4 linked regions of the Stegostoma tigrinum genome follow. The protein of the gene in region 4 binds, or shares a complex with, the protein of the main gene of each other region. Links are inferred from orthologs where the notes say so. Each region holds a gene or a part of one and is shown on either strand. Other genes may lie near its edges. The genes, in order: smad7, amot, smad3b and nedd4l.

What was found.
Region 1: the proteins of nedd4l (region 4) and smad7 are in contact, whole or in part, in an NMR structure (PDB 2LTY), measured with the Homo sapiens proteins. The link is inferred for Stegostoma tigrinum from reciprocal best matches to the Homo sapiens genes NEDD4L and SMAD7. Residues at the interface, in NP_001138439.1 of Homo sapiens: Arg394, Asp396, Lys398, Arg400, Tyr402, Val404, Asn405, His406, Arg409, Thr410, Thr411, Thr412, Trp413; in NP_005895.1 of Homo sapiens: Glu203, Glu205, Ser206, Pro207, Pro208, Pro209, Tyr211, Ser212, Arg213, Tyr214, Pro215, Asp217.
Region 2: the proteins of nedd4l (region 4) and amot are in contact, whole or in part, in a crystal structure (PDB 7LP3), measured with the Homo sapiens proteins. The link is inferred for Stegostoma tigrinum from reciprocal best matches to the Homo sapiens genes NEDD4L and AMOT. Residues at the interface, in NP_001138439.1 of Homo sapiens: Lys202, Asp204, Leu206, Arg208, Tyr210, Val212, Asn213, His214, Arg217, Thr218, Thr219, Gln220, Trp221; in NP_001106962.1 of Homo sapiens: His235, Arg236, Gly237, Pro238, Pro239, Pro240, Glu241, Tyr242, Pro243, Phe244, Met247.
Region 3: the proteins of nedd4l (region 4) and smad3b are in contact, whole or in part, in an NMR structure (PDB 2LB2), measured with the Homo sapiens proteins. The link is inferred for Stegostoma tigrinum from reciprocal best matches to the Homo sapiens genes NEDD4L and SMAD3. Residues at the interface, in NP_001138439.1 of Homo sapiens: Glu392, Glu393, Arg394, Lys398, Gly399, Arg400, Tyr402, Val404, Asn405, His406, Arg409, Thr410, Thr411, Trp413; in NP_005893.1 of Homo sapiens: Glu178, Thr179, Pro180, Pro181, Pro182, Gly183, Tyr184, Leu185, Ser186, Glu187, Asp188.

What each region holds. Positions count from the first base shown.
Region 1 is NC_081354.1:159,815,599-159,822,519, reverse strand, and holds the start of smad7 (mothers against decapentaplegic homolog 7), read right to left. Parts: upstream 3,018-6,921; 5' UTR 2,403-3,017; coding exon 1,748-2,402; intron 497-1,747; coding exon 443-496; intron 1-442. UniProt on the Homo sapiens protein: Antagonist of signaling by TGF-beta (transforming growth factor) type 1 receptor superfamily members; has been shown to inhibit TGF-beta (Transforming growth factor) and activin signaling by associating with their receptors thus preventing SMAD2 access.
Region 2 is NC_081368.1:25,793,435-25,801,285, forward strand, and holds the start of amot (angiomotin), read right to left. Parts: upstream 3,006-7,851; 5' UTR 2,886-3,005; intron 1-2,885.
Region 3 is NC_081386.1:30,933,946-30,941,960, reverse strand, and holds the start of smad3b (mothers against decapentaplegic homolog 3b), read left to right. Parts: upstream 1-5,007; 5' UTR 5,008-5,086; intron 5,087-8,015. UniProt on the Homo sapiens protein: Receptor-regulated SMAD (R-SMAD) that is an intracellular signal transducer and transcriptional modulator activated by TGF-beta (transforming growth factor) and activin type 1 receptor kinases.
Region 4 is NC_081354.1:152,024,638-152,032,115, reverse strand, and holds the start of nedd4l (E3 ubiquitin-protein ligase NEDD4-like), read left to right. Parts: upstream 1-4,475; 5' UTR 4,476-4,567; coding exon 4,568-5,107; intron 5,108-7,478. UniProt on the Homo sapiens protein: E3 ubiquitin-protein ligase that mediates the polyubiquitination of lysine and cysteine residues on target proteins and is thereby implicated in the regulation of various signaling pathways including autophagy, innate immunity or DNA repair.

The sequences.
Region 1 (6,921 bases), about 7.8 Mb from region 4:
CATAGCAATTTGTGTGGAAACTAAACACGTTATGTCTTGTCATGAGTTATACATGGAGGTGTATTTATTACTCTAATTATACCATGTGAAAATTCTTACATTCACCAAAAGCTGAAAAGCCAGCCTAAATTTCCCCTACAGGCTCAACTTTCTAGCCATGCCCCACATCAGTTCTGAATCATGCTCCTTTCCTGATGGAAGCTGCTATCAACTTTCCTGTCTTCAAGGTTTGACTCATTGGAAATACCTTTCAAAACGTAAAAATCAAATATTTTAGAGCTCACATAAAAAAACACAACTTTTCCCCTCTACACAGGTAGTAAAATGCTTTAAGCAGATGGGGGGGCAGGGTGGAAAGTTTTAAGGAAATTGTTTTCAGTTTACATAGAAAAACAATTGGATTACAATTCGAAAAATAACACGAAAACACCACTGTACTTACCAGGCTGCTTGAATGAGTCCATTGGAAATCTAGAATAGGGAGGCGGGGGTGACTCTGAAAACATTAAAAGAGAGAAAAAAAGTCAAAGCCATGAGAAAAGAGATAGAAACTGATGATAACGCTGGCAGGAGAGCCGGCATTCTTTCGCAAACTATTTGTCTTAGCTCTGGGGGCTGGAGGCAACGCAGCAAAGTCAGCGATTGCCTTGATAGTTAACAGTCACATAAACAAAAGAGTCAGCCTGGCGCCAGTCTCACTGATATGCAACTTGTGTGTCTAATCGCCCCTCCTTGGCTCACGTAAACCACTTCTGCTCTGGAAATTACACTGAATCAGTCTGGCTGAGGATCTGACCGCGCCATCTAACTGGAAAATCACCCATTTACCGCGGCGACAAGCCTTCTAGACAAACTTTTTTCTTCTTTCCCCAAAAGAACTTTTAGTTACTTGATTGATACATCTGACAGGCTTTATAGGGTGTTTGAAATAACTTTACTCCTGCTCCCTTTTAACAGGGATGTGAATTTAAACGACAAACTTTTGAGGTTCAGACAATTCCCAGAAACATTTCGATGGAATGACTTTTTTAAAATCTGTAATTTCTCGCCCCCCCACCCTCGTTCTCGATCTAACTCAAGTTTCAATTCAGATCATAATCTTGAATGAAAATCTATGCAAATATAGAGAAGTAATTATTATTAGGCAACACTTGAATTGACGGCATAATTACATAGTTGAGTAGGGAGAATATTGTTCAGTAATGTTTGGATTGATAGGCAGTTTCAAACCAGCGCATGTTCTTTATTAGTAACGCTGACTCTGAATAAGTATGGAATAAAATTCAGTTGTAAACTAGACCGTTTATAGTTAATACTAATCCGGGATCAAACTCGAATTTTAGCAGAGAATGTTGCGACATAACCACAGCTTTACTCTCAAAAAGAATTCATTCATGAAATAGCATGATGAAACTTCTAGATCAAATCTACTATGGTGAGTCTTTTTTTAAATGTAAGATTCACGGAGTTCTTGTGTGAAAAAAGGGACACCTTTAAGGATGTGAATAAAGCGAGGGCCGGTTAAATTTGCAGAAGGACTTCAGGCAGGGTCTCTGGATGTTTAACAGTATCCGCCACTTTATTGTAAATCCTAGTGGGACTTTTATAACAAATGGAGGCGCCGAGGTGGCCCAAGTAGACTGCAACAGTCAGAAGTCACAAAATTCGGGTTTTCCAAATTTAAAAAAGTACTTTCAGTTACTGCCCGTTCAAAAAGAAGCATTCAGATCATTGAGAAAGACCTTACCGAGTTCACAGAGTCTGCTAAGGTGGTGCGGGTTACAACAGATGGAATCCGGGCTATTCGTTCCGTACGATTGACAGCAATAAAGTCTTTTCAGTTCGGAGGAGTTCCTCAGGTCAGCCCAGCGGAAGACTTTGCAGATCAGTACCGGCAAGGAGTAAGTTTGTTTGCTTAGTTTGGGCTCAATCATCTTGGGCAAAAGGAGGCATCCTGTGCGGGCTCCCCCTTTACTCTCCACAGATTGCAGTAATAATTCCAACTGTTTCTCTTTCAGTTTCCTCAACAGCGAGTGCGTGAGGGCTTTTAACTCGGGGTCCGAGGTGCTCGCTTTCGATGCTTTAGCCCCGCAGCATCCCCCGGCTCCGCTGCCGCTGCTACTACCTCCGTCACCTCCACCTCCCCCGCCTCCTCTTCCCCCTCCTCGGCTTGCATCGCCCTCTTTATCCGTCTGGCCGTCTGCTTCTCCCAATGCACGGCTTCGCCAAAGTCGCCGCACCAGACCCGATCGTTTCGTCCTGAACATACGAGACGACGATCCGCCAGAGAGAAATTCGCTAAAACCCAGCCAGGTACAGAAAAAACATATCCGCAAAACATGAATCCAGCCTGTTCTTAATGGCAACAACACAGTAACAGCAGCCGCACAAATCTGTAGCATACGCCAGCCCCTTATCTTTAGGCAGGTTAAAAAATAAAAGATCCGGTTAAATTGGTTTTAACAATACTGCAATTAAATACGGGGGGATGGGTCACAGATACAATCATGCATTGTAACCCACCGGCATAAAGTAGGGAAAATGTAGTCAAGAATATGCATCCATTAAAATGTAACCCAAGCGTTCGCTTCTTGTTCCTTCCCTGGCTTTTTTGGGGCCACAGTTTAATCCAAGCCCGTAATCCGGCGATTCTGATGATTGTCGAGATAGCTCTCTTCCTTCGTTTTCCCTTCTTCCTTTCAACGATTATAGATACACATGCAGTGTCTCTAATCCGTTCCAGTCTCCTCTTTCTTTCTCTTTGCTTTGACTTGTACGTGCGCCTGCTTGTCTCTGTCTCTCTCTCTTTCCCAGTTGCCTTTCACTAACTTAATACCTCTCTCCAACAATATTCTTTTTTTAAAAAAAATGCGGCGATTTATCAGGGAGGTGGGGGGGTGAGGAAAAAGAAAATAAAAAAAACCAAGAGAAAGTTGTCTCCGTTTGCAGCTCTGCTGGTGGATTTCCTGAGTGCTCCGGACTCCGGGCTGAAACTGACACAAGGCTTGAAATTTACAAGCTCTTGCTTTGGCTGCGCATTGGCGCGGTCGGTCACGTGTGTGTCTAGACACTTTGTCGCGGCCCCCGGTTTAAAGTGATTGTTACGCAAACAAGCGATCACATTACGAACAGCCCCTTTTACTGAGAAGCCAGTCGCCCCCAACCCCCAAAACACGTACAACAAACTGCAGGCAACATTCAGCCACTTCATCACGGCAACAATGCACACTACCCATTTTCTTTTTGTTTTGTGTTTTTATTTGGGGGGGGGGGGTGGCGGGGTAGTGAGCGTTGCTGTGTGATGGGAGAGGAAAATCAGTCCGGGAAATTCTGGGAACTGCAACTTGCTCCATCCAGATTCTCGTCTGAACATTCCTGACATTCGTTTTTCTCTCAGCTTTGCGTCCCCTGTCAAAGCACCACAGAAACAGGTAAACAGGCCCTTCGAGCAAGACTGCCTTGTGGAGGTTATTGCAGGGTGATATTGATGCACAGAGAGACAGAGAGGTGGGATAGCTGTGTGTCGAATTTCTAGGGCTGTCTTGAAGGTTTGAAACTAATAATCTTACTGCAATTCCATAGATCAACGAGAATAATTTCCACTTTTTAGGGCTGCAAAATAAGTCTCATGTTCGCCAATTGACATCTAAGTTCCCTGGATTGTAGGAAAGGCAAATGAACTATTATGGGCTTTTATTTCAAAGAGAATGGAGGTCCTGTTAAAATAAACAAGGTACTAGTCAGACCACAGCTGGAATACTATGAACAGTTCTGGTCCTTTATCTAAGAAAGATAAACTGGCATAGGAGGTAGTGCAGAGAAGGTTCTCTAGGTAGAATCGGGTATGGGGGGATTTTGACTTGAGAAATTGCGTAGGTTGGGCTTGTATTCTTTAAATCTTTGAAGAATGAGAAGAGACCTTTTCAAACCATCTAAGATTCTTAGGGAGCTTGACAGGGTTGATGTGGAGAAGTCCTTCCAGGGACAGTCCAGAACCAGAGGACATAATCTCAGAGGACATAAATGTCATCTATTTAAAACCAAAATGATGACTTTTGTTTCTTCTCAGTTGGTGGTTCCCTGGAATTCTTTATTGCACAGGGCAGTCAAAGACGGGCCATTGATATGCAAACCTGAGACAGATTTTTAATCAGTAAGGGATTCAAGAGTTATGAGAAAAAGGCAGGAGAATGGAGTTGAGAATTATCAGATTAGCATTAAATGGTAGAGCAGTCTCAATGGGTTGAATGACCTACTTCTGCTGTAGATTTTAAAGTGGTATTCTTATGAGGGGATTCAAAATATTTCAATTAATTGGTTGATCTTCATATAGAAGCCAACAACAATTTGAATTTGTGTTACACCATTTAGCTTCCCTTCTCCCAAAGGGAGGAGTTACTGTGCATTCAAGACTGTATGCCAGCTAAGCAGAGTAGGGGCATTAGTTGTGGGCTACTTAGCTGTTCGATGATATTCAGCTGTTCAGTGTTATCATAGTCATGAGACCAAGTCTACCCCATTTCCATTAATCCCTTTGGTCAATAAATCCCCATCATTTTTAGATTTAACATTAATTATTGACCTAGCATCAATTATCATTTGTGTAAGAGAGTTCCACAAACTTTGAATATCCTTTATGTGGAAACCAGTTTCATAAATTCACTCCTCAAACTCTTTCTAATTTCTGGACTCCCACCAGCAGGAATAGTTTTTTCTGCATTATCCTGTCTATTTCTGTAACATATTGGAAGTTTCAGTGAAGACTTAAATCTTCAACACTGCAGGAAATGCAACCCTAATGACAAACACAGAGAATGCTGGAGAAATTCGGCAGGCCCAGGAGCATCTGGGCAGAAAGAAACTGAGTTCATGTTTTGAATCCGCTATGATTGTTCTTCAGAAATACAACTCCAGTTTATTTAATTTCTCCCTGTAGCTGAACTGTTGGAGACCAAGCAATATTCCAATAAACCTAGATGGCAATCCTTCCAAGGCCAATAGAGTCAAAGAACATGGAATAGCATGTACAGGGTGGAAACAGACCCTTCAGTCCAACTCATTCATAACGATCAGATATCCTAAATTAATCTGGTCCCTGTTCCCAACATTTTGCCCATCTGAGCCCTTCCTATTCATGCACCCATCCAGATGCCTTTTAAATTGTGTAATTATACCAGATCCTTGCTAAGGCTTAGTGTCCAAACTGATGCTGTTCCACACTATTTGTATTGTTGAAGAATGACTCTAAGCACCCCATATTCAAAGCACCCGGGTTTAAAGGCCAGCATTCCTTCAGCCTTTTTCATACCTGCCCATGATACTTTAATGATTTGTGGATAAAACAAAGAACTGAGGATGCTGGAGATATGAAACATGCAGAAATAGAAATTGCTGGAGAAACTCAGCGAGGCTGTAAACAGTTCTGAAGTAGGACCTCTGGACTGGATTCATTAACTCTGTTTCTCTTTCCACAGATGCTGCCAGATCTGCTGAGTTTCTCCAGCAATGTTTGTTTTCGTGTGTTAATAATCAGTGTAGCTGGACCCTCAAGTCTCTCAAAAGCTTTATTGTTTCCAGTCTTTTGATCTCTTTTTAGGTCAATATCAGATTACTTCACATTTTTCTACTTACGTGTTCTTGTACTATCTACAAGAAGCATGGCACAAAGTCACCAAAGATTCTTTGACAGTATCTTCCAAGCCCAGAACCACTTCCATCGAAAAGGACAAAGGCAGCAGATACATGGGAACACCACCACCTATAAGTTCGCCTCCAAGCCACTAACCATCCTGACTTGGAAATATATCATTGTTCATTCACTATCGATGAGTCAAAATCCTGAGTTCCCACCCGAAGAGCATTGTGGGTCTACCTACATCACATGGACTGCAGTGGTTCAAAAAAGCAACTCACCACTACCTTCTCAAGGGCAACTAGGGATGGACAAGAAATCCTGGCCAAGAAAGCAACACTCAGGTCCCACAAGTGATTTAAAAAAAAGTGTTGAGTTCAGCATCAAGTGACAGTTTGCTGGTGATCATGGAGGTTAGATACCTGAAGCTATTAACAACCTTCACTTTCACAGTGTCAGTGTTGATGGATGAAAAACTATCCTGGACCATGCCATTTGTCTCACAAAAACAGAAGTTGCTGGAAAAGCTCAGCAGGTCCGGCAGCATCTGTGAAGAAAAAAATCAGAGTTAACGCTTTGGATCTGGTGACCCTTCCTCAGGACTGAGGAAGTTCTGAAGAAGGGTCCCGACCCGAAACATCAACCTTCCTGCTCCTCTGATGCTGCCTGGCGTGCTGTGTTCCTCCTGCTCCACACTGAATAGCTTTGGGTCATTTTTTGTACCTTTAACATGGAAATCACCCAATGTTCTTAACAGGGATGTCATCAAAGAAAATTTAACACCAAGCCACGTAAGGAAATATTAACAAGGAGGAAAGAAGCAGCTTTAAGGAGCATCTTAAAGGAGAGGAGAGATAAGAAGACGGAGCTTAGACCCTAAAGAGCTGACATCACAGCTGTAAAGAAAATTAGGATATGAACAAGGTCAGAATTAGAGGAGGAAGACTCGGAGAAATAGAGATACTTAGCATGATCCTGGTCTAAATTATAAGACTTTAAATGAAAACAAGAAGAAGATTATGGGCTAATTTAGATCATTGTGTCCCGGTATAAATGTCTTTCACAATGCTGCATGCATTGTAACCATCTTGCTAAGAGCCGGACAAGCTATGAATCGTAACCCTCTACAATCTGTGTGGTGGCAGAGAGACCCAGGGGTTCATGAAAATCTAAAGGAGACTTGCGCAGTGTCACAGTGAGCAAACTGGTAGCACATAGTTAGGCTGACTGAATACAAAACTAACAATATTATTCTCTACCTTATGCAAATCCTTTGTGTGGCCACATTT
Region 2 (7,851 bases), on a different chromosome or scaffold from region 4:
CTCTCAACCTTCTTCTCTCTAATGAAAACAGCCTCAAGTCCCTCAGCCTTTCCTCATAAGACCTTCCCTCCATACCAGGCAACATCCTAGTAAATCTCCTCTGCACCATTTCCAAAGCTTCCACATCCTTCTTATAATGCGGTGACCAGAACTGCACGCAATACTCCAAGTGCGGCCACACCAGGGTTTTGTACAGCTTCACCGTAACCTCTTGGTTCCGGAACTCGATCCCTCTATTAATAAAAGTTAAAACATTGTATGCCTTCTCAACAGCCCTGTCAACCTGGGTGGCAATTTTCAAGGATCTTTGTACACGGACACCAAGATCTCTCTGCACATCTACACTGCTAAGAATCTTACCATTTGCCCTGTACTTTGCCTTCCGGTTACTCCTACCGAAGTGCATCACCTCACACTTGTCTGCATTAAACTCCATTTGCCACCTCTCAGCCCAGCTCTGCAGCTTATCTATGTCTCTCTGCAACCTACAGCATCCTTCGTCACTATCCACAACTCCACCGACCTTAGTGTCATCTGCAAATTTACTAACCCATCCTTCTACGCCCTCATCCAGGTCATTTATAAAAATGACAAACAGCAGTGGACCCAACACTGACCCTTGCGGTACACCACTAATAACTGGACTCCAGGATGAACATTTCCCATCAACTACCACCCTCTGTCTTCTTTCAACAAGCCAATTTCCGACCCGGTGTGGATGTGTTGGACCAAAGGGCCTGTTTCCACACTGTTGGGAAACTAAGAATACTCGAGCTGTGGACTTGAACTGAAGCCTTATTTGCAGAGTTAAAGAGCAAAATAATATCATCAGCACTACATTACTTGAACTCAAATGCCTCAGAAACTGGGCAGATGAGAGAACCGTTAGCTCTCCATTGCAGGTGTAAGCCTGGTCATCAGGTGTGACATCCTCTCAATGTTGTTGTACGTGGCACAGATCTGGCCTATTCCCCAAGCCTGCATCGCTGCAGTGACCTAAGCCGCCATATACCTCATTTGGAGGTCTAAGATTGATCGAGTCCAAAGGGACACCGTGTATTAAATGTGTTGGGGTTGGGGGCGGGTTAAGAATGAATGCCACCCTCATCCTGATGGCCACCTTTCTGTGTGTCTATATCAAGCTGCGCTTAGACCCTCAGTACGCAGATATTTTGTGTCACTACGTTCTGAGATTTTACCTGTCCATAGTGTCACGAAGGATGGGTCAGGCCTCGTCACCACAGCACACTCCAAGTAGTTGGACCATCCCATATGACCTGTCCCTCATGGATAAATTTGTGAAAGAAAACACCTTTGACCACAAGTCCACCAGGAAGTGGTCAGCACATAGAATCCTCAAGACACTTCAGGAAAAGGAGATAGTTGATCTTGTCGGGTAGTTCCTTGAGCAGACTGTCAAAGCCTTTTGGAAGAATTCCTCATTGCCAGAACTTTTCAACAAGCATCAAGACAACAGCTTGGCTGGTGGAGAGAAGGGCACTAGCTGCAAGATCTTTCATGCACGGACAAATCCTCTCAAAGCGGTTCCAAGAGGATTGAGGCTATCTCCCATCTCCTTCTGGAATGTGGCTATGCAGAGGAAGTCTGGAGAGAGATGCAGAGGTTTTTGACGAGGCTAGTCCCAAGCAGCTCCATGACGCAGGACTCTGTACAGGATGTACACCAAGACAAACATCGACCATGCCTGGAAGACCATCAACTCAGTGAAAGACACCCTGTGATCTGCCCAAAATTTGCTGGTCTTCCAGTGCAAACTGTTAACCCTGACCGAGTGTTGCAGCCGCATATTCCAAGGTCCAGGACTATGTGCTGAAGGATGCACTAAAGCTTGGGACAGCTGCCACCAAGGTGCAGTAGGGAATGACCACCACAGTTTCTGCCAAAATACAACAGGGGCCCGTTGAGTTATTGGACACTCCTGATGCCTCAAATACATGTCAGTAGTTCCAACTACTTTCCATAATTAAGAAATGCCTTTGGATTAGTTGTACCTAATATGAAAAATCAAACTCCGATGTTTATTTTCTTCTCCATACGCAAAAACTTTAGTGATCAGAACTACTTCTGTAACTGTGTATGTACATAAAGATTTATTTTTCTTAGTGAATAAAGTACATCTTTGCAAAAGAAAACCCTACAATGTTAAATGCTGCTAATCCTATTTGTTCCATGATGTGGACTGGGGTGGACAAGGTCAGAAGCCACACGACACCAGGTTGGAGTCCAACAATATGCATCGGGGCTTAGATTAAGATATTGTAGCATTCTTCCATACACATAGACAGGCTTACAAATTAGATGAACATCTAGTTTACAAAGAACCGTGTAGTTTTTGTTGCACCATGCTCATTTGAAAGTCAAAACCTGGGTAAGAATTTGAATTTTGCTTGTGTTGTTCTTGGTGGCCGCGGTGGGGCAAACTCAAGAAAAACAGGGGAGACAGTAGAATGGGAGATGGTGCTGAATTCAACACAGCCCGCTGTGCTTTAAAATGAGCTGAAGCTCACTCAGGATGGTGAATGGCAAAGATCAGTGTTTTAGCATCAGACTGGGCGAAGCAGGAGCGGAGATTTACAACGTTAGACGTGAAGTAGTGAAACAAAGGTTCATTTTACATGTTACTTCACCATTTAATTTGGAAATTAGAGAAGAGGCATGTAATCGTATAATACGTTTGCAACACAGATACGCTGTCATCATTTATATTGCGAGTTAATAATTTTCTCTCCACATGCAATTTAATTGAAGCCTGTTCTTTGTTAGGTGTCCGGCCAACAGAGGAGTAATTCCCTGCCAAACGTTAGCTATATTTCTAAATAGTTTTACGAAGCAATTCACCCTTTCTCGAAAAATAAATGACTTACTGTTGAAATATTCTGCAAACCTTTCCGTGCTCCCCCCTCTTTCACCACCATTTCCAAACTCAACGTGACGAGGGAGGGGAAAATAAAAAAAACCTTTCTCCAGCGTCTTTCACCTGCCGGCCCCGCTCGTTGTTTCTACGCTTGCGCTTGGTGGAAAATAAAACCAAGGTGCAGCTTGGGAAGTGTAGTCGTTTGGTTCCCATGGATTAACCCGTTTCCCTGCCAGGATCAGCTCGCCTGGACTTCAACTTCCAATGGGCTTCGCACGACGCCTGCAGAGGCACTTCGGCTGGCTACGCGGCGCGAGAGAGGCGGGGGTGCCCCCGATGCAAACAGGTGACATTGTGGAGTATGTTTCACCTACCTTTAAAAATGAACTGAGAATCAAATAACGTCCTTGTTTCACGCGTTAAATAAACGCATATGAATTTAAAACCCATTCGAAAAAAGCAAAACAATGTTCATTGCTCAAGATCCGAAACAAAAAGAGTGTGGGGTTGGGGGTCTGGCAGCATCTGTGGAGGGAGAAACAGAGTTAATCCTTGGACTCCAATGTGAACTTCGTTCAGAAGTCGTTTTGGACTATAATTATCTCCGTACATGCTGAGTTTTTCCAGCACATGTTTTATTTCGGCTTGATCCAAATAAAATCATAATTCAACAACACAATCCACCTGTAAATCGTTTAGATTTGTTCAAACAAGTTGAAGAAACAAGTTTTTTTTAAATTCCTAAAGTGTCACCTCTGAAGTCAATTTTTCTCGTCCATGCTTGGTCGCTCTCGTAGTTGCTACTGGGAGCTTAAGTATATAACTGTATTCTGTGTAATGAAGATAATCCTTCTATATAATTAGACAGTGCATTCCAGGATTTTGACTTAAAAATGAAGGAACATTTGAGGGTGAGGCGGAACTAGAGGAGAATTGTTTCACCTGCTTCCCTGGCCTCTCCCAGTTGTAAAGCAGGTGGTTTAGGAAGTCTTGCCATAACATTTCAGATGAATGATTGGTGTGCATACTGTGGGTAATACACAACATAGTCAATGACGTAGAAGATTGATATTTAAGTTAGAGGATGATGCTCTGATCAAATAGACTAGCCTGTGCTTAGCAGTGAATTACTAGAATATTAATACAGATACACTACACCGTGCTTAGCAGTAAATTACTAGAATATTAATACAGATACACTACACCCCAAATAGGGAACCTGATTTGTGCACTGCAAATGGTTGAGAATGATGTGAGCTATTCACTGCAAAATACACGGCTTCAAGATGCTTATGTGGCTGGTCTGGTTAAGGTTTTGGACAATGATGGCCTGGAGGATGTTGATTCAGTCAGAGCAATGCTGTTGAATAAAACCTTAAATATCAAAGAGAGATAATTGCACAATTTGCTGTTGGAATTAGTCAATACCTGCATTGGTGGGGTATGTTTTGCCAACAGCAGGGTATCCTTACCTGATACAGTAATAGTTGTGTCATCCTTCACAACATAAGAAACTAGTACACAGAAAATGTGGCATTGAAAGATCCAGTGGACATTCATTATAACTCTTTGGTTACAATGAGCAGCATGCTTCCATCAGAGTCTCATACTTTAAGTAGTCCAAGTTAAGACAATAGACAATAGGTGCTAGAGTAGGCCATTCAGCCCTTTCAGCCAGCACCACCATTCATTATCATCATGGCTGATCATCCACAATCAGTATCCTGTTCCTGCCTCATCCCTCCTGCCTTTGATTCCACTATCTTTAAGAGGTCTATCCATCTCTTTCTTGAAAGTATCCAGAGAGTTGGCCTCCACTGCCTTCTGGGGCAGAGCATTCCATATATCCACCACTCTCTGGGTGAAGAAGTTTTTCCTCAGCTCTGTTCTAAATGGCCTACCCCTTATTTTTAAACTGTGCCCTCTGGTTCTGATAGAGTCCAAGAAGTTTACACCCTCAGTTCACATACTATGAGACAGTGATGAATCAAGATCGTTTCCCTTATCAGGTATGCTGACATGCTACCCGTGAACCTAATGCAACATCTTTTTCAAAGATAAAAAGTGATCTCAAAAAGAAATACAAGGTTGTACATAAACAGGTTTGTCAATTAGGTAATTACATGAACAGGTATAAACAGAGTTTACAAAATTAACAATTCAGAGTTCAATATAAAGCTTTGGAGGTTTGACAACTTGCGCCGATCTGGTGATCGTATACCCATGTGGAGAGGTACATGTTTTATTTGTACTCTGTTTTATTTGGTTGTAATTTTCCTGGTTACTGTTACTCAATATTGCTGCACAATCATCATCATCATCACAGTATTCTTCCTCATTCTCATCATACACGATTGGTGTGTTGTACATTGTTCGAGCTGGCACATATTCTTTCTCAAAGTAGCACCACGAGCCGTAATGACTTCACATGATCTGGGCCAGTTGCACGATTGAAACTATTGCTATATTCAAGTATATGTATTTCTAAGTCATTCTCTGTCCACTGTGTAATTGTGGTATTTCTCTACTTGTTCACTCATCATTTATCTCTTTCATTCTCCTCTGTCTTTGAAGAAAAATATTGTTGTCATGGAATGATTAGACAATTGGGTACTTGGCAAAGTTACATGGTACTTGCCTTCCAAGCATATGCTGTGGTGGGGTTGGTGATGGCTTCGCCATTGATGCTGTATGAAGATGCACCAACAAAATGTGAAAAACTTGTTTCCATACTTGATCATTGATTTGGCAGGAAGTACTACACACACTGCTGGACCATTTAAATGTGAGGTGATTACGTGATGTGGTCATTCCCCACTTCATACATGCCAGTGAACTGCAGCCCATTGTCAGATGCTATCCATTCTGGAACACTGAATAAATAAAAGTAAGTCATTATATCAGCAACTGTTACATTTAGCATGTTGCTAAGTCATCAAAGAATGGAATATTTACATAAGTAATCTGTCATCATGAGGGTACAACCTTCCCCATGCACTGTGAACACGCCTGTGGTTTACAGACCTGGGGTAGTTCCTACCCTCCTCAATGGCACTTCAAGGCACTGGAGCAATACCACCAACACTGCTTGCAAAAGATCCTGCAAATCTGCTGGAAAGAATCAGCATTCTCAAACAGGCCAACATCTTGACACTGACCACCCTTGATCAGCTATGATGTGCTGGATATCAACATGAGCAACAAGAGACAAACAGGTGCTCTATTCCCAACTTCAAGAATGGCAGGCGAACCCCAGGTGGACAAAGGAAATGCTTCAGTGATACCCTCAAGGCCTCACTGGTGAAGTGCAGCATTCCCACAGACACCTAGGAAATACTGGCCCAAGAACATCTAAAGTAGAAGAGCATCTGGGAAGATGTCAAGCACCTGGAGACTTGCTGTCAGGTAAAAATGGAAGTCAGGCAAAAACAGTGAAAGGAGCGCACTACCACACCAATGCCCCACCCACTCCTTCCCATGAACACCACCTGCCCTAAGCATAAGGGAACCTACAGTAGCTGCATTGGTCCATTTAGTCACCTACAGACTCAACCAAGAGTGGAAGAGAGTCATCCTCATCTGCGATAGACTGCCAATGATGAATACATCTGTAAACTGACAATTAGCAATAGAGTGTTTTCAATATGGCAATGTTCCAACCAGAGTGTATTTGCCAGCCACTCAGAACTCTCCTCTTATGCAGTATAAATATTAATTTGTACATGAATCTGCATTCTTGCAAAATGTCCTGATAAGTGGAAGAAAACTTCAGCAAAACATCTTTTTTCAGCAATGTTCAAATTCAAATTACCAAACAACTATTTGTACTACGTACTTGTCTAATTGATCATTTAGGACAGATTATTCTTGCAGAATATGCCAAGTGCAAAACTAGGCTAAACGTTTGTACATTTTTCTCTTCTGACAGAACAGTGAACTGGCTGCTCGTTTTTGGTGGATGATGATCAATTTAGCAGATCACTTCAAGCTACAGCTATATCTGTTTCTGGGGCACAGGTAACCTCACAACATTGATTAGAAAAAGAACGGACTCGAACTACTTTTAACCATTAAAGGTGGGCCTGGAGAGAATTTTTCCAATTATTTTCCCCTTCAATTAGCAGTGGTTTGTTTTTGGTTCTGAAAAGAGTTTTTTCTACTTCTCCCAAGAAATCATATAGCTTCAGTGGGGTTGAGGTGTACATGTGTTGTGCTGCATTAACCATTATACTTAAATGGATCTCATCTTTTGTTGCCCATCAATTCTCATTTTTGTAAATAAAGCAAGCTGGGTTCAGGTGTTTGTGGAAATTAATCATATAATCAGGATTTTGTTGTCCTTCTTACCCAATTGAGCCATGGAATTTTTATAGCACAGAAAGAGGTCTTCTGGCCCATCAAGTCCAAGCCAGTCATCAAGCATCTAATTTTAATCCCAATTTACAACACTTGGCCCACAGTCTTACATGCTATAATATTTCAAGTGCTCAGAACACCCTTGCAGTGAGTTCTAGGCATCCACCAAACATTGGGTGTTAAATATTCTTCCAGTCTCTGAACATCCTACTACTCAGCTTAAATCTGTATCCCCAATTTTTCATCCCTCTAAGCTTCTCCCCATCTATACCCCTCAAAACTTTGTGGACTTCAATCAAGTCCTCCAAGTGCCTTGTCTGTTCCAAAGAAAAAAAAACTCTAGCCTACCTAGTCTTTCATTATAGCTGAAACACTCCAACCCCTTTAGTGTAATTACATCCTTCCAATAATGTGAATTCCAGAACTGCACAAAGTGCTCCAACAGTGCCCTAAGATACTATTTGTACCCAGTATCTTATGGTGGAAGTAAGAGCACAGAAGTTGATCAATAAAGGCAAATATCCCACATGCTTTCTTAACCACCTTATCTACCAGGTCCACAGCACAGGAAAAGAACATTTGGCCCAATCGAGTCTGTGCCAGTCAAAAACAACCATTTC
Region 3 (8,015 bases), on a different chromosome or scaffold from region 4:
AATTCATGCAATGTCTACTGAGCAGTCTGATCCTGCCAGTTATCCAGCTAGATTAGTTTAGATGTCCAAATGTCACATTCTGATTTGAAAGTGACTGTTCAGCATCAGAATGGCCACTACAGCCACAATCAGGGCTGTTCTGCCCTTGATATTAAAACAGCTATTTTTTCAGCGTTTGTTTTGAAAATAAGGAGAGGGAGGGAAGTGGTTAGATGTTGAATTGTCACCATCCTGAAATAATATGAAGACATAATTTGGGCAATCACCAGGTGCTGTTCCAAATATAGGCACTCCCTGGGTTGTGAACAGGTTTCGTTGGTAAGTCTGTTTGCAAGTTGATGTGTGCACAAGTCAGAACACAGTGCATGACCATATAAAGCAGCCATTCGTAAGTATAGAAAATGTTCATATGCTGGGTCTTTAAAATTGTTCCGCTGTATGGAATAGCATTCGTCAGTGTGAATGTTCATAAGCCAGATGTTTGTCAGTTGGGGACCCCCTATAGTTACATGCAGACACAGTACAGCCTTGAGGAGTGGCGAGCGGCATAAATGCAGTGCTCTCTTCAAGGCACCTTTCAGACTTTTGGCCTAATAATTCAAATACGCAACTTTATATCTAATCCAACACTCATGTTTCCCCGAACAGTGGGTGTTGTTCCCTGTTTCTGCTCTAATAATTTAACTTCCGGCCCCAACTTTTGCTCCTCTACCAACTTGTTTTCTGTCTTTCACCATCACCCCTTTTGTCATTTATTCTATCCTTATCTTCCATCCTCACAACATTCCTCTCTCCCTGTCTCTCTACTTGCCAATAATATGTAAAACCTCTAACTCCTTCCCATCCTGATGAAACGGCATCAAACAGAAACATGAACATTATCTTCCCTCCCCGAGACTCTGAATGTTTGCAGCATTTTCTCTTTTAATTACAGACTCCAACACCTACAGTATTTTATTTCAGCAATGTTTCAACGACTGCTGAGATAACAAGGTCTAGAGCTGGATGAGCACAGCAGGCCAAGCAGCATCAGTGGAGCAGGAAGGCTGATGTTTTGGGCCTAGATCCTTCTTCAGAAGAAGGGCCTAGGCCCGAAACGTCAGCCTTCCTGCTCCACTGATGCTGCTTGGCCTGCGGTGTTCATCCAGCTCTACTCCTTGTTATCTTAGATTCTCCAGCATCTGCAGTTCCTACTATCTCTGAAACAATTTTAACCCCTCTTTCAACAACTGTTCATTGTTCTAACAAGTTGGAACTGCCTGGAATTATCCTTCTCTGTCCTAGAATGACCGAGTGAGATCCATTATGTTCAGTTTCAGGTTATGAGCTTGTTTTGATAATTGAAGGGAAGGTGGAAGAGGGAAGAAAGACACTGTTTCAATAATATTTTCTTCATCCCAAGTAAACTGTTCCACAGCCAATGAGCTACTGTTGAAATGTTAGTGTGGAGGTTTCTTTACGAGACTCATTTTTGCTCAGCCCCATGGATTATAAAAATACCTTAAAGCTAATGAGGTACTGCAAATGAATAGTCACCATTGAAATGTGGAAAATGCAGCACACAATTTGAGCACAGCAAGATCTCACAATTAACAATATTATAGTGATCAGATTTTGCTGAGATGTTGGTTAGAAAAGAAAGAGGAATTATATTTACATAGTGTTTTTCAAGGTCACCAGGTATCTCGGTGTGTTTTTCAGCCACTGTACTACTTTTGAGGTGTAGTCACTGCTGTACTTCCGGAAACATGGCAGCCAGTTTGCTCATAGCAAAGGCTCACACACTGAAATGCGATATTGACCAGATCATGGCTCTGCTACATCAAAATCCTGGAATTGCCTCCCAACCAGAATTACGTGTGTACTTAACACCATGGTATGCAGCTGTTCAAGAAGGAAGCTCACCACCACCTTCTCAAGGGTAACTAGGGATGGAAAATAAATGCCAGCCCAGCCAGCGACGCCCACTTCCACAAGTGAATAAAATATATCTATCTTTTGTGATGATGACCAGGACTTCCAGGGGAGGCGATGGCCCAGTGGTTTTATCACTGGCCTGTCAATCCAGAGGCCCAGGCAACATTTTTGTGGGGACCGGGGTTCAAATGGTGCAATTTGAATTCAATAAGCATCTGGAATTAAGAATTTAATGATGACTGTGAATCCATTGTTGATTGTTGGAAAAAACCCATCTGGCCCACTAATGCCCTTAGGGAAGGAAACTGCCATCCTTACTTGGTCTGAGATAATAAAATGTGAGGCTGGATGAACACAGCAGGCCCAGCAGCATCTCAGGAGCACAAAAGCTGACGTTTTGGGCCTAGACCCTTCATCTAGACCCTTCACTCTGATGAAGGGTCTAGGCCCGAAACGTCAGCTTTTGTGCTCCTGAGATGCTGCTGGGCCTGCTGTGTTCATCCAGCCTCACATTTTATTATCTCGGATTCTCCAGCATCTGCAGTTCCCATTATCACTTACTTGGTCTGGCCTACACGTGACTCTAGACCCACAGCGATGTGGTTGCCCTCTGGGCAACTAGGCAGGCACAATAAATGCTGCCTAACCAGCAACACCTTCATACCGTGAATGAATAAAGGAAAAAAAAATTAGTATGGCTGAGGACCAGAGCAACAGAGTTTTGTTTGAACTCAGGGTTATGAGGGGTGGAAAACAGATAGGTGCAGGGACAGGAAGAGAGGAGGCTGCGAAAGGATTGAGACACGCAAAGAGAGTGAGTAAAGAAATGGCAAATGGAATAATTTTGGGAAAGTGTGGAATTTATGCACTTAGATGGGAATAACAGAAGCATAGACTATTTTCTAAAAGGGCAAAGGCTTCAAAATCTGAAGTACAAAGGAGCTTGGAAGTCTTAGCTAAGGTTAAGTCTCTTAAGGTTAACATATAGGTTCAGGTGACACTTAGGAAGGAAAATGCAATGATAGCATTCATATCAAGAGGGCTCGAATACAAGAGCAGAAATGTTACTGCTGAGGATGTATAAGGCTCTGATCAGACCGTATTTAGGATATTGTGAGCAGTTTTGGGCCCCACATCTAGGGTAGGAAGTGCTGGTGATGGAGGGAGTCCAGAGGAGGTTTGCAAGAACGATCCGAGGGATAAAGGACTTGTCATATGACGAGCAGTTGAGGACTCCGTACTCAATGGAGTTCAGAAGGATAAGGGGGATCTCATCGAAACTTAGAGAATACTGAGAGGCCTGGATAGAGTGGACGTGGAGAAAATGTTTCCAGTAGTAGGAGAGACTATGACCCAAGGGGACAGCCTCAGAGTGAAGACAAACCGTTTTATCTGAGATGAAGATAAAGTTCTTCAGCCAGAAGGTGGTGAATCTGTGGAAGTCATTGCTGCAGAAGGCTGTGGAGGCCAAGTCAATGAATGTATTTAAGACTGAGATAGACAGGTTCTTGATTGGCAAGGGGATCCACAGTTACTGGGAGAAGGCAGGACAGTAAGGTTTAGAATTGCATCCTTTGTGATCAAATGGTGGAGCAGAGCAACAGGCTGAATGGCCTAATTCTGTTCGAATATCTTACCATTGAAGACCAGAGGGTGCTTGGGAGGTCATCAGAGTAGTCAAGTATGAATGTAACAGAATTCAGCCTGAGTGTTTCTGCAGCAGATGAGTTCTGATGAAGGGTCTAGGCCTGAAACATCAGTCTTCCTGCTCCTAAGATGCTGCTTGGCCTGCTGTGTTCATCCAGCTCTACACCTCGTTATCTCGGATTCTCTAGCATCTGCAGTTCCTATTACCTCTGAGGTAGAAGTGAAGTTGGCCAATGTCACAAGGACAGAAGAAGCCAGTTCTAGAACATTGTGGTCAGATGTAAATGTTCATCACCAGTTATATGCATATCCTGTTGAGCGCTGATGAAGCTGGTTCCCAGCTGCTAGCTTTAGACAGGTTTTAACTAGTTTTTGGCCTGTTTACGAAGAGTAGGCTTGAATTTTAACATGCAGATTGATTGTGTTGAAAAAAGGAAGAAAGACTTACATTTATGTAACACCTTTCACAATTTTGGAGTAATGCCAAGCAGATTTAAAGTGATGTTACCTTTGAAGTGTAGTCCTCATGTGTCTTCAGTTGTGGGAATCATGGCAGCTACATATTACACAGTAAGATCCCACAGACGAACGATCTTACAAAGATCAACTGACTGAGTTTTCTGGTGCTGATTGTGGGCTAAAACGGACACCTGCTGATAGAAGTGCAAAGGAATTCAACAAAATCAGGCTGCAGGATTTTGAATGCCAACTCAAGTCAGATTCACTTAGACATCTTCCCCCACCAACTCCCCCCCGCAAACAGAACTTCATAGTGTGGGACTTAAACCTTCTGCTTCACACCTGGAAATGTTTCCTACAGAGCCACAGTTAATGTCACTGGTTAAGTAATGACAGAAATTGCTGGGACTGGTCTCTGGAGCAGGTCAGGAAGGATAAAGGGTAGGTGACATTCTATTTTTAAAAAACGGATTTTAAAAATGTTTCTTGACATGCATTGTGAAATAATTGCGTAGGTTTAATTGAGATTTAGAAATACATCCATCTGTACTATCAAAAATACATCTTGTGGAAAATTACCAACTAAAAATTGGAAAAATGAGTTTTGTTTGATACTTGATTTCTGTCTGGAATTATAGAAATGTGGTAAAAGGAAAGGCAACAAACATAAGTTTTGTGTATGAAAGAGAGAAAAGAGCATATAGTGTGTGAATTTACTGGAATTTTGGCTTGTTTAGTCATAAAGCAGAGGGAGAGTTGAGCTGATACTGGGGCAGCTGCTGTAAGCAGCATTCTGTGCTGAAGCAAGAGAGACAGAAATAAACTCCAGTATACCACTGACACAAACAGAAGGAGAAACTTGAAAGGCTCACGCTTCTTTTTAAAAAAAAAGACCTGTGATGACTAAAACACAAATCAGAATGGATGTTTATCGTGTGACGTTTATCTGCGGTGAGGCGGCTCTTAGAAAAGCAGGCTGAGGAGAACTTAAAGCAACCACTTCTGCTCCAGTTAAAATATACCAGCAGAAGATCAGCATTTAGCTCAAGTGACGTATATTTTGGTGAGTAATGCGAATTCTTTGATTGAATACCATTAAAGGGTAGGATGATTTCCTGGCATTTAGAATCATTTTAAAGCCAGCAAACATTAACTTTCCTCTCTGTGCGTTTGTGTGTGTGTGTGTGTGTGTGTGTGTGCATTTAACCCACTGTTTATTTAACTACTGCTTACAGGAAGCCTATTTTAAAAGATTTACAGCTTGTTTTTCTATTTCATAGACTAACTGTCTCAAATGGTTGGTGTTTCTTTCTCTTCAAGTGTCCCTTAAACCAAATACATATTTATCAGCTTGACTCCGTTGATAATGTTCCTGCCTTCTGAGTTCAAATACATCTTAAAATGTACATCCACAATCTACACTCAAAAGGGGAGGTAGTAGAGAACAGATCCTGTTTCTGGAATAATCCCCAATGTCAGGATAATGTTAAATAGAATGAAATCTGGGTCTGCAATTAAAAGCTAGTCTGATAGGGATTGTGTACCAATTAAATATATTTTAAAAATCATGTTCACTAACATTTTTTAGGGTAGGAAATCTGCCATCCTTACGTGGTCTGGCCTACATGTGACTCCAGACTCCACAGTCTCTTAACTGCCCTCTGAAATTGGCTAGCAAGCCACTCAGTTTAAGGGCAATTATGGATGGGCAATAAATACTAGTGTTGACAGGGAAGACCACATCTCATTAAATAATTGTTTAAAATATAGACCGCTACTTTGAGGTAGTACTGAGGGAATGTTGTACTGTAAGAGGTAAAGTCCATCATATCAATGTTAAACTAATCCTCGCATCTGACTTGTTCTAAAAATATAGAAGATCTAAGCTGATAGATCAGGGTATTCCTATGGTGCTGCCCTGTGTAAACTTAAATTAAAGCATGCCTCAATCTCTTAGAATTATTCCCAGATTAATAACAACATGCAGTTATTTTTATTTTAATGGATCAGGACCAGCATTTGCTGTCCATTCCGAATTGTCCCTGAACTAATTGGTTTGGAAGGCCTTTCCAGAGTGCAACCACATAGCTCTGGGTCTGGAGTCACAAGCAGGCCAGACCAGCTGAGGGCTTTCTTCCTGAAGGGATCCAAACTAATCTTTACATAATAAATCAATGGTGGTTATATGGTCAGCAACACTGAGACCAGTATTGTATTCCAACTGTTGTAAATGGAACTTGAACCCATAACCCTACAGCATGGAACTACTCTCTAATTTACTAACATTACTACCAAAACATCCTTCTCCCTGGCAGAATTCATTAGCCAAATGACAAAACGGTGAGTCCTGACACAACGTGATAGAGCACTCCAATGACTCTTTGTTCAATATATAAACGATTGTTGCTATTCAGACGAAAAAAATCAAGATAATTCACTTCCTGATTTTTAGTTATCCTTTCAGTCATTAATTGATCAAGCTTAGCACTGAATTAGGAAGAGACTTTATCTCAAAGGCTGTTCATAAGGCTTTAGATCAGGTCTGGAGGAGATTTACGAAGATGTTGCCTGGATGAGACATTTCAATTTGGTGGAAGGGTTTGAATCATTAGAACATTAGAATCATTTCGGGCAGCTCGGTGGCTCAGTGGTTAGCACTGCAGCCTCACAGCGCCAGGGGCCCGGGTTCGATCCCGCCTCGGGCGACTGTCTGTGAGGAGTTTGCACATTCTCCCCGTGTCTGTGTGGGTTTCCTCCGGGTGCTCCGGTTTCCTCCCACAGTCCAAAGATGTGCAGATTAGGTGGACTAAATTGCTAAATTGCCCGTAGTGTTCAGGGGTGTGTGGGTTATAGGGGGATGGGTCTGGGTGGGATGCTTCAAGGGGCGGTGTGGACTTGTTGGGCCAAAGGACCTGTTTCCACACTGTAGGGAATCTAATCTAATCTAATCTAGTGGTATTAAATCACTGAACTGCTAATCCATGGGATGAGGTAATGTTCTGGGGATCTAGGTTCGAATCCTGCAATGATGGAAATTGAATTCATAAAAATTTCTGGAATTAAGAGCCTAATGATGACCATGAAACATTTTGTCAGGAAAATTCCATCTGATTCAGTAATGTCCTTTAGTGAAGGATACTGTTATCCTTAGCTGCTCTGTCCTCCACGCGACTCCAGACCACAGCAATGTGGTTAACTCTTAACTGCCCTCCTGGCTACTAGGGATGAGAAATAAATGCTGGCCAGCCAGCGATGTCTTCAACCTGTGAATTCATTGAAAAAAAATCTTCTGCTAAAGAACACGCATTGTTGTTTCACCAGACGTTTGATATGATTGACATACTCACTATCAATAGGAGAGCATCACACCCACTAATAGAATAGATCTTGGAACAATAGAAATAGAGGGCATTTGGTCCTTCATGTCTGTGCTGACCCCTTGAAAAAATAGCCATGCTCAGTTCCACACTCCTGTTCTTTATCTATAAGCCTGTATGTTCGTCAAGTACAAGTCCTTTTTCAAAATGACTCATTGAAGCTGAAATATTGTAACAAGGTCAGTCAGCTGGACATCATAGAAATGAGTTCTGTAATTGGGGCTGTTAATCTGGCGCAATCAGGGAGCTCTGGCTGAAAATAAAAGGTTGCGTGTCACAAGAATTGTTCATCTGTAAACAAAGGGTGACTTGGTGATGGGATACCGGCTTTTGTGGAGTTATTACAGAAGCAGCTTATGCCACCTTTTTAGACAATTCTCTAAATAGCAACAGGTTCTGCACCTCTGTCCTTGCAATCGTTAGCTGCTGATTTCAGACCCACTAAAGAGGGAATAATTTACACTATTGAAATCTATCAGCGTCTCAAGAATTGCTGTTAAGCCACCTTTTAACCACTTCTGCTCTGAGGTAAATCGTTCTAATGATTCAAACCCTTCCACCAAATTGAAATGTCTCATCCAGGCAACATCTTCGTAAATCTCCTCCAGACCTGAT
Region 4 (7,478 bases):
TTATAAGGGATAGGATTTATAATCATCTAGAAAAGAATAAATTGATTAGGGTTAGTCAGCACGGTTTTGTGAAGGGAAGGTCGTGCCTCACAAACCTTATTGAGTTCTTTGAGAAGGTGACCAAACAGGTAGATGAGAGTAAACCGATTGTGGTGTATATGGATTTCAGCAAGGCGTTCGATAAGGTTCCCCACAGTAGGCTATTGTACAAAATGCGGAAGAATGGGATTGTGGGAGATATAGCAATTTGGATTGGAACTTGGCTTGCTGAAAGAAGACAGAGGGTGGTAGTTGATGGGAAATGTTCATCCTGGAGAGCAGTTACTAGTGGTGTACCGCAAGGGTCGGTGTTGGGTCCACTGCTGTTTGTCATTTTTATAAATCACCTGGATGAGGGCGTAGAAGGATGGGTTAGTAAATTTGCAGACGACACTAAGGTCGGTGGAGTTGTGGATAGTGACGAAGGATGCTGTCGGTTGCAGACAGACATAGATAAGCTGCAGAACTGGCCTGAGAGGTGGCAAATGGAGTTTAATGCAGACAAGTGTGAGGTGATGCACTTTGGTAGGAGTAACCAGAAGGCAAAGTACAGGGCGAATGGTAAGATTCTTAGTGTAGTTGAGCACAGAGATCTTGGTGTTCATGTACACAGATCGTTGAAAGTTGCCACCCTGGTTGACAGGGCTGTTAAGAAGGCATACAGTGTTTTAGCTTTTATTAATAGAGGGATCGAGTTCCAGAACCACGAGGTTATGGTGAAACTGTACAAAACTCTGGTGCGGCCGCACTTGGAGCATTGTGTACAGTTTTGGTCACCGCATTATAAGAAGGATGTGGAAGCTTTGGAAAGGGTGCAGAGGAGATTTACTAGGATGTTGCCCTGGTATGGTGGGAAGGTCTTACAAGGAAAGGCTGAGGGACTTGAGGCTGTTTTCATTAGAGAGAAGAAGGTTGAGAGGTGACTTAATAGAAACATATAAAATAATCAGCGGGTTAGATAGGATGGATAGACAGAGGCTTTTTCCTAGGATGGTGACGGCGAGCACGAGGGGGCATAGCTTTAAATTGAGGGGTGAAAGATATAGGACAGATGTCAGAGGTAGTTTCTTTGCTCAGAGAGTAGTCAGGGAATGGAACGCTTTGCCTGCAACGGTAGTAGATTCTCCAACTTTAGGTATATTTATGTTGTCATTGGATAAACATATGGACGTACATGGAATAGTGTAGGTTAGCTGGGCTTGAGATCAGTATGACAGGTCAGCACAACATCGAGGGCCGAAGGGCCTGTACTGTGCTGTCATGTTCTACGTTCTATGTTAACAATTCCTGTCCCTGCTGTATCCGTGGGTCAGTTTTTGTCCAGTGTGTGCAGGAGAGCTTCCTGACACAGTATGTAGATAGGCCAACAAGGGGCGAAGCCACGTTAGATTTGGTACTGGGTAATGAGCCTGGCCAGGTGTTATTGTATGCCAACTCTCCCTTTCCTGTGAAAACTGTTAACCATGCATTCGCATTATCAGCTTCCTGTCTCCTCTGCAACTTTGGTATTGTTTGTGTCTGTTACACCATGTCAAAATAACCTACACCAAAATTGTGAATGACATCTTCCATGATTTTGGATTTATAGCACCAACATTCTGCATCATATCTGTTTCATGTGGCGTTTGCTGTGCAATATTCCTCTAATATTTCGTCTTAGTTTCCAAATGTGTGTGTTCTTAGTGTAGCTGTTATATTATGACATAGTTCAGTTCTTGGATAAAGTTGCACATTTCCACTTTGAGTTTTCTAAAGTTCAATCCTTGGACCTCTTCTGCTTCTAAGCTTAAAAAGTTGCTTACCCTTGTGTCATTTGTGGCTCTGGCTTCTCTATTATTAAGGTCTGGATTCACCAAGTCACACTTGATTACTTGAACATGATTACGTGGTACTCTAATCCTTCACTGAGGGATGCCTACACATTTGATCATGCTGTTTGTTCCTTCAGATAATAAAACGTGTGACACTACTTGGAAGAAAGGCAGTTATCCTTTTTGTCCACATCACTATGTATTCTTCAGTCAACATAACTTAAAAACGGGTTATCTGTTCATTATCACATTCCTGTTTACACTATCTTGCTGTATATATAATAGCCCACGTTTCCTACATAACTGAAATTCAGAAAAGTGCTTGATTAACTGTAAAGAGCTTTAAACTATCTGGTGATCCTGAAAGGAACCAAATAAATGTACGTTCTTTTCTTCACAATGACATTTTCAGGCATGTGATCAAAACTTAGACTGGACAATTGACTTCATATCTGTCAATTCTGTTCATATTTCAATGACTTATTTAGATCTTGAATGAGTCACACTTTCTATGACCTGAATAGTAGGAATGCCCATGCCGTTGTTTTTGGCATTTGAAGTAAGCTTTGGTGACTTGTCTCTGATTTCATCATTGTTATTGGCCAGAACTCGGAATTGAAAAGAAATCTGCAACTTCAGCATTGTTGTCCACATCCTCAGTATTACTTCTCTCTAAGTTGCTGCGTTACCAAAGCCCTCAAAATATTTTCTACCTCTGCGCATGATTATTTTGACATTTGATTGCCTGAAATGCCATCGTCTATTAACTACAAATTCCTTGTTGTCTCAAGTGCAATAATCTGCGTCCATGTTTGCACAGAGTCCAAATCTCCTATCATCTTATCATCCATATTTTCCAACATTATCTCCTGTCCTGATGCATTTTGTTTATAATTTTGTCCTTGCCTGCAGTGCCGCTCCATTTCTGTATGTGTTAGCTATACAACCTCTAACAGCCATACAGTGCATATTTCAGTGTATCTGTTTCAGCCTCCAATGTGGCTAAATCCCTCAATCTTTGTTTGGTGGCAGGGCTGTCTGTTTCCGCAGGTCATTTCTCAAAGCCATTTCCCCATGTCATTTCTGCACTGTTTTATTTTTCTACCTGCCTTTAAAAGAAATCTAACCCATTCCAACCTGGCTTTCCATCGTCATCTTTCCCCATGTTGAAACAACTGGCAACAGCTTCCTCCTCCTTGGATAGTTTAGACAACTAAAGTTGTTGGTGTGTGAGAAAATATATCTTTGCATAAAGTTGGTCATGCATAAGACAGCCAATTTTAAAAAATCTTCTATTAGTATTGCAGTACTGTATTACCTTCTGCCAGTTTTCCAACAGATATGAGTTATAGTTAACAGTATATCTGTCTTAATTGGCTATTATACTGAACTTTAAATAAAACTGTATTTCTTGAGCTTTCCCCTGACTGAAAATAGATCTTTCATGGCTGTGTTTAAAGCAGCTGTATGTTTTTGCTCACAGAGCAGCTATAAAATTGGATTTAGTGTAATCATTAAATTTGTTTTGGTCTTAGCTTATGGAAGTAGGGTTTTAGAAACCAGCTCTCGTATTTAGACAAGTTACATCAATATTTCACAGATTCTGTAAGCTCTCCAGAGCTTTTGTAATTGCCTTTATATTCTGTCTTTCAAAATATTCTGCTGTCGTGTGATGAGATTTATTGTGGTAAATGGAGGCTGCTTTGGTCAGCTGCATGTGCTTTCCCGCTGGGGTTGCTCCCTTTGATGGAAAAGGAGCAGCTGTGAAGGCACTGTTTCAGACACTTGCTGCCTTTGGGAAAAAAATTTCTGCTGTGCATTGGAAGGGGAGTTGCATCATGTGACTGCTACCACCCTACCCCATGTTATACTGTGTAGTACTACTGATTGCCTTTATCCAATCATGCCTGGAATGCTGCCTGTCACTTGGGCTATTTCTGCTATCTGTCGCTGTCAAGCTTCAGTGCTAACCGTTTGGCAGATGGGACAGTTTTTTCTCGAGCTTACCTCTTTGCTTTCTTTAAATATGCTTTTGGCAGTGTGATTTCCTCTTCTCGTATTTTAAACTGGGCTGTTGGTGTTAAACTATGGCCCATCGACTGCGCCTTTACTTTGGATCAAATAGGAGTCACACTGATCCAGAATCGGAGATGTTAGATGAAGAGAGAGAAAATGACATCTATATGACATTCCACACTTTGCCAAGGAGGAATGCCCCTCATCCTTTCCAGGATATGCCTAGGCCTGTGTCCGATGCTGTGCTGCCTTTACAGGATCAAACCTCCTTGAGTCGCAGCTCTTCCATGTTCATTCCTCAGTTGCACAGTTCTGAGTCACGACCCACCAGGAGTTCCTCGATGCAGATATCGTTGCAGCGCAACCCTATGAATGGATATGGTGATACCAGTGTCTCGGAGTCTCTGGAACAGCCGTTACCAGACTTTGGAATGGAAGTTGGCAACAATGATGGCTTATTTTCTAGGAGCCATTCTCTTCCAAGTGTCCCTCGAAACACAGATGATCCCCCATCCTATAATATGGCTGCATCACAACAGGTTATTGGAAATGTTCCATCTAATTGTACAATAAGCTCTCTTTTTCCTGTGGAACAAAAGCCATGCAGTATTGGTCAAGATGAATTAACAAATGGGTCTCCCTCTGATCTAAAGGTTGGAGATGTACCTGTTCAACACTGCTCGCCAACAGAAATAGATCAAATGCAGTTTTCATCTTTCACTCGTAATGGACGTCCAAAAGCTCATGCCTCTGTAACTAGGCGTTGGTCTTTACAACATCAGCCGTACATGGCGGGGAACATGGGGAAATCTTGTTTTGTCTTCCAGCTCCAGCAACAGTGCAAAGGTGTCCAGGACTCCTGGATGGATTTCAAAAGGGGACGAGCATGCACAAAGGATGAGCAAGCAGCTAGGCATCCACATGTACGACTGGGGCGAAGTGCCTCTGCCACCTTTCCAGTTAAGGGAAATGCTGAGTGTTTTGGTGCTGCTGAGAGAAGGAAGCAACTCGCAGGAACACTAACTGGGGAAAACAATTCAGACATGCTTTGCGGCACTTATGGCACTTTGCCGCAAACACAGTCCTGTAAGTTTAAAATCAGACAGGAGCGAAATCAGAGGCAACCACACTTTCGAATTCTTTTAACCCGAGGATCTGAAGAGCAGAATGAAGGCTCAATAAGGGATAATGGTGGTTGTGTTCAGACAAGAATGAATTCAATCACCGGAGAGGACTCTGTGGTATGTAACCAGTTCAAAAGTGTATCTGTCACTTAGACTGTGTGTGGGGGTGCTATTTTGAGGCTAAAAGTGGGTTGGGTGAGGGGTTGGATTTATGGTGTGGGACCTAAATACAATTGGTTTCAGAGGTGAGACTGCATAAAATGAAGTTCTGACAATGCTATAACTTAAAGATGAATGGTTTCTGGTTTATTTTCTTAAATTGTGGTTTGTCTGTCTGAGGAGTGAATCTGCAGGAGTTGTCTTAATATGTTTCCAAACAAGATGTGTATAGACAAGTAAGCTATGTCACCAGTTTAGAAAGCAGGCTTGAAATCACACAAGTTGGTGTTTAATGCCTTTGTGTGCTCTTTTGAAATATGGCGTAGAAACAGGTTTCCTCCCTCAAGTATAAATCTGCACCACACAACAAATTTGTTTGTGTTTTTCAGTTTGGTAGAAGAAACTGAAAGAAGCATTTTTGTTATGAACTGTTTAAATAGTTTGCAGCTGGAAGTTGGCTGAATGTAAAGCACCAAGCATATTCTCTCTTTTCCCATCGTTTGTGTTTACTGTGTCTGATGGAAGACATGACTTATGGTCTGTCTTAGCAGGTGTCATACTTTTACTTGAGACGAATAAGAGAATTAATTTTACTGTCTACTGGCTCTGGCCCAGAGACAATTTGGGGCTGCAGATGTTCCTTCCGCTATTCCTGTAAAAGAAAAAATGAAACGAAAATATTATTTGAGCGATGTTTTTCCCTTTGCAAGTTCATAAAAAGCAAAGTTGAACAGGGTGTATATCAGGCATGCAATTCAATCCCCCAGTTCACACTCAGTGAATTCAGTTAAACTTAAGTTTTGTAGTGCTCAGTGGCAAGCACTTAGAAAAAATGGAAACAATATGAACTAAAGCAAAAAAGTCAAGGAAGAGAGATTTTGTGTCCAGAGGACGCTCATAGTCCTAACTCAATTAAATTGAATTAATAGTCATTACATAATCTTAATTCTGTGAATGTTTGATCTTTTAAAAATAGTATTTTGTACTTCTACTTCTGTCTAGTCACATGTATTACGGGCACAGTCCGTTTGTGCTGTTGTGTAACCCTCCTTTCTTAACTGGAAGCTAATGTGTTGGATCAGCTTGAGATTCTGTTAGGAGCCATCTAAATCCAGCAGAGGAAACATTGCCAGAGGAAACACTTCTGCATGGCCAATCAACAACATGCCTTCCAGATCCTGGAGTCTCCAACGTTGCGCATAAGCTAATAAAAACTTACAGCTCCTATTGGAACAGTGGAGTTATGTGTGAAACATGACTGCCTCTCCATAAGCAGCAGAACTGCTGCTGATCCAGAACAAAGGAGAGATGAACATAGTTTCAAGGCTTAAAAAGAGTAGCACTACATTGTGTATTCTTTGAAGTGCAAATTGAAACGTATTTCATACAGAGTATACTCCCCAGCCGTGCCAGCCCGCTGCCAAAACGTTTCATCTTCAAAATGCTCCAGAACGGCCTTTCTTAGCTTGTCAAATATGTGATGGAAGCAAGTATTTAATTCACAGTCAAAAATTTGTGAACAAGTACAATGTACACTTTAAAGAATATTTAAAAGCTGAATTACAGAGTGATTGAGTCACAGAGATATACAGCATGGAAATAGACCCTTTGGGCCAACTCAACCATACTGACCAGATATACTAAATCTAGTCCCAATTGCCTGCATTTGGCCTATATCCCTCTAAACCTTTCCCGCACGTGTACCCATCCAGATACCTTTTAATTGTTGTAATTGTACCAGCCTCCACCACTTCCACTGGCAGCTCATTCTATATATGCAACACTATCTGTGTAAAAAAAAAGTTGCCTCTTAGGCCCCTTTTATATCTTTCTCCTCTCACCTTCAACCTATGCCCTCTAATTTTGGTCTCCCCCACTCTGGAGAAAAGTCCTTGCCTATTTACTCTATCCATGCCTATCATTTTATAAATCTTTGAGATTTCCCCCTCAGCCTCCGACACTCTCAAGAAAATAGCCCCAGCCTACTCAGCCTCCTCCTATAGCTCAAACTTTCCAACCCTTTCAATGTCCTCGTAAAACTTTTCTGAACTCTTTCTAGTTTCACAACATCCTTCCTTTAGGAGGGGGACCAGAAGTGAATGCAGTGCTCCAAAAGTGGCTGAACTAATGTCCTGTACAGCCACAACATGACCTCCCAACTCTGTACTCAGTGCACTATCAACCTGTGACCTATAAGTAACATGCAACTCATCCACTTGGCAAAAAAAACAGCCAAAGCAGTGCAGTTGCTAGAAATCAGAAACTGAAACAGAAATTGCTGTTGAAACACATCTGGCCACATCTGTGGAGAGAAATATTTCAAGCCCAG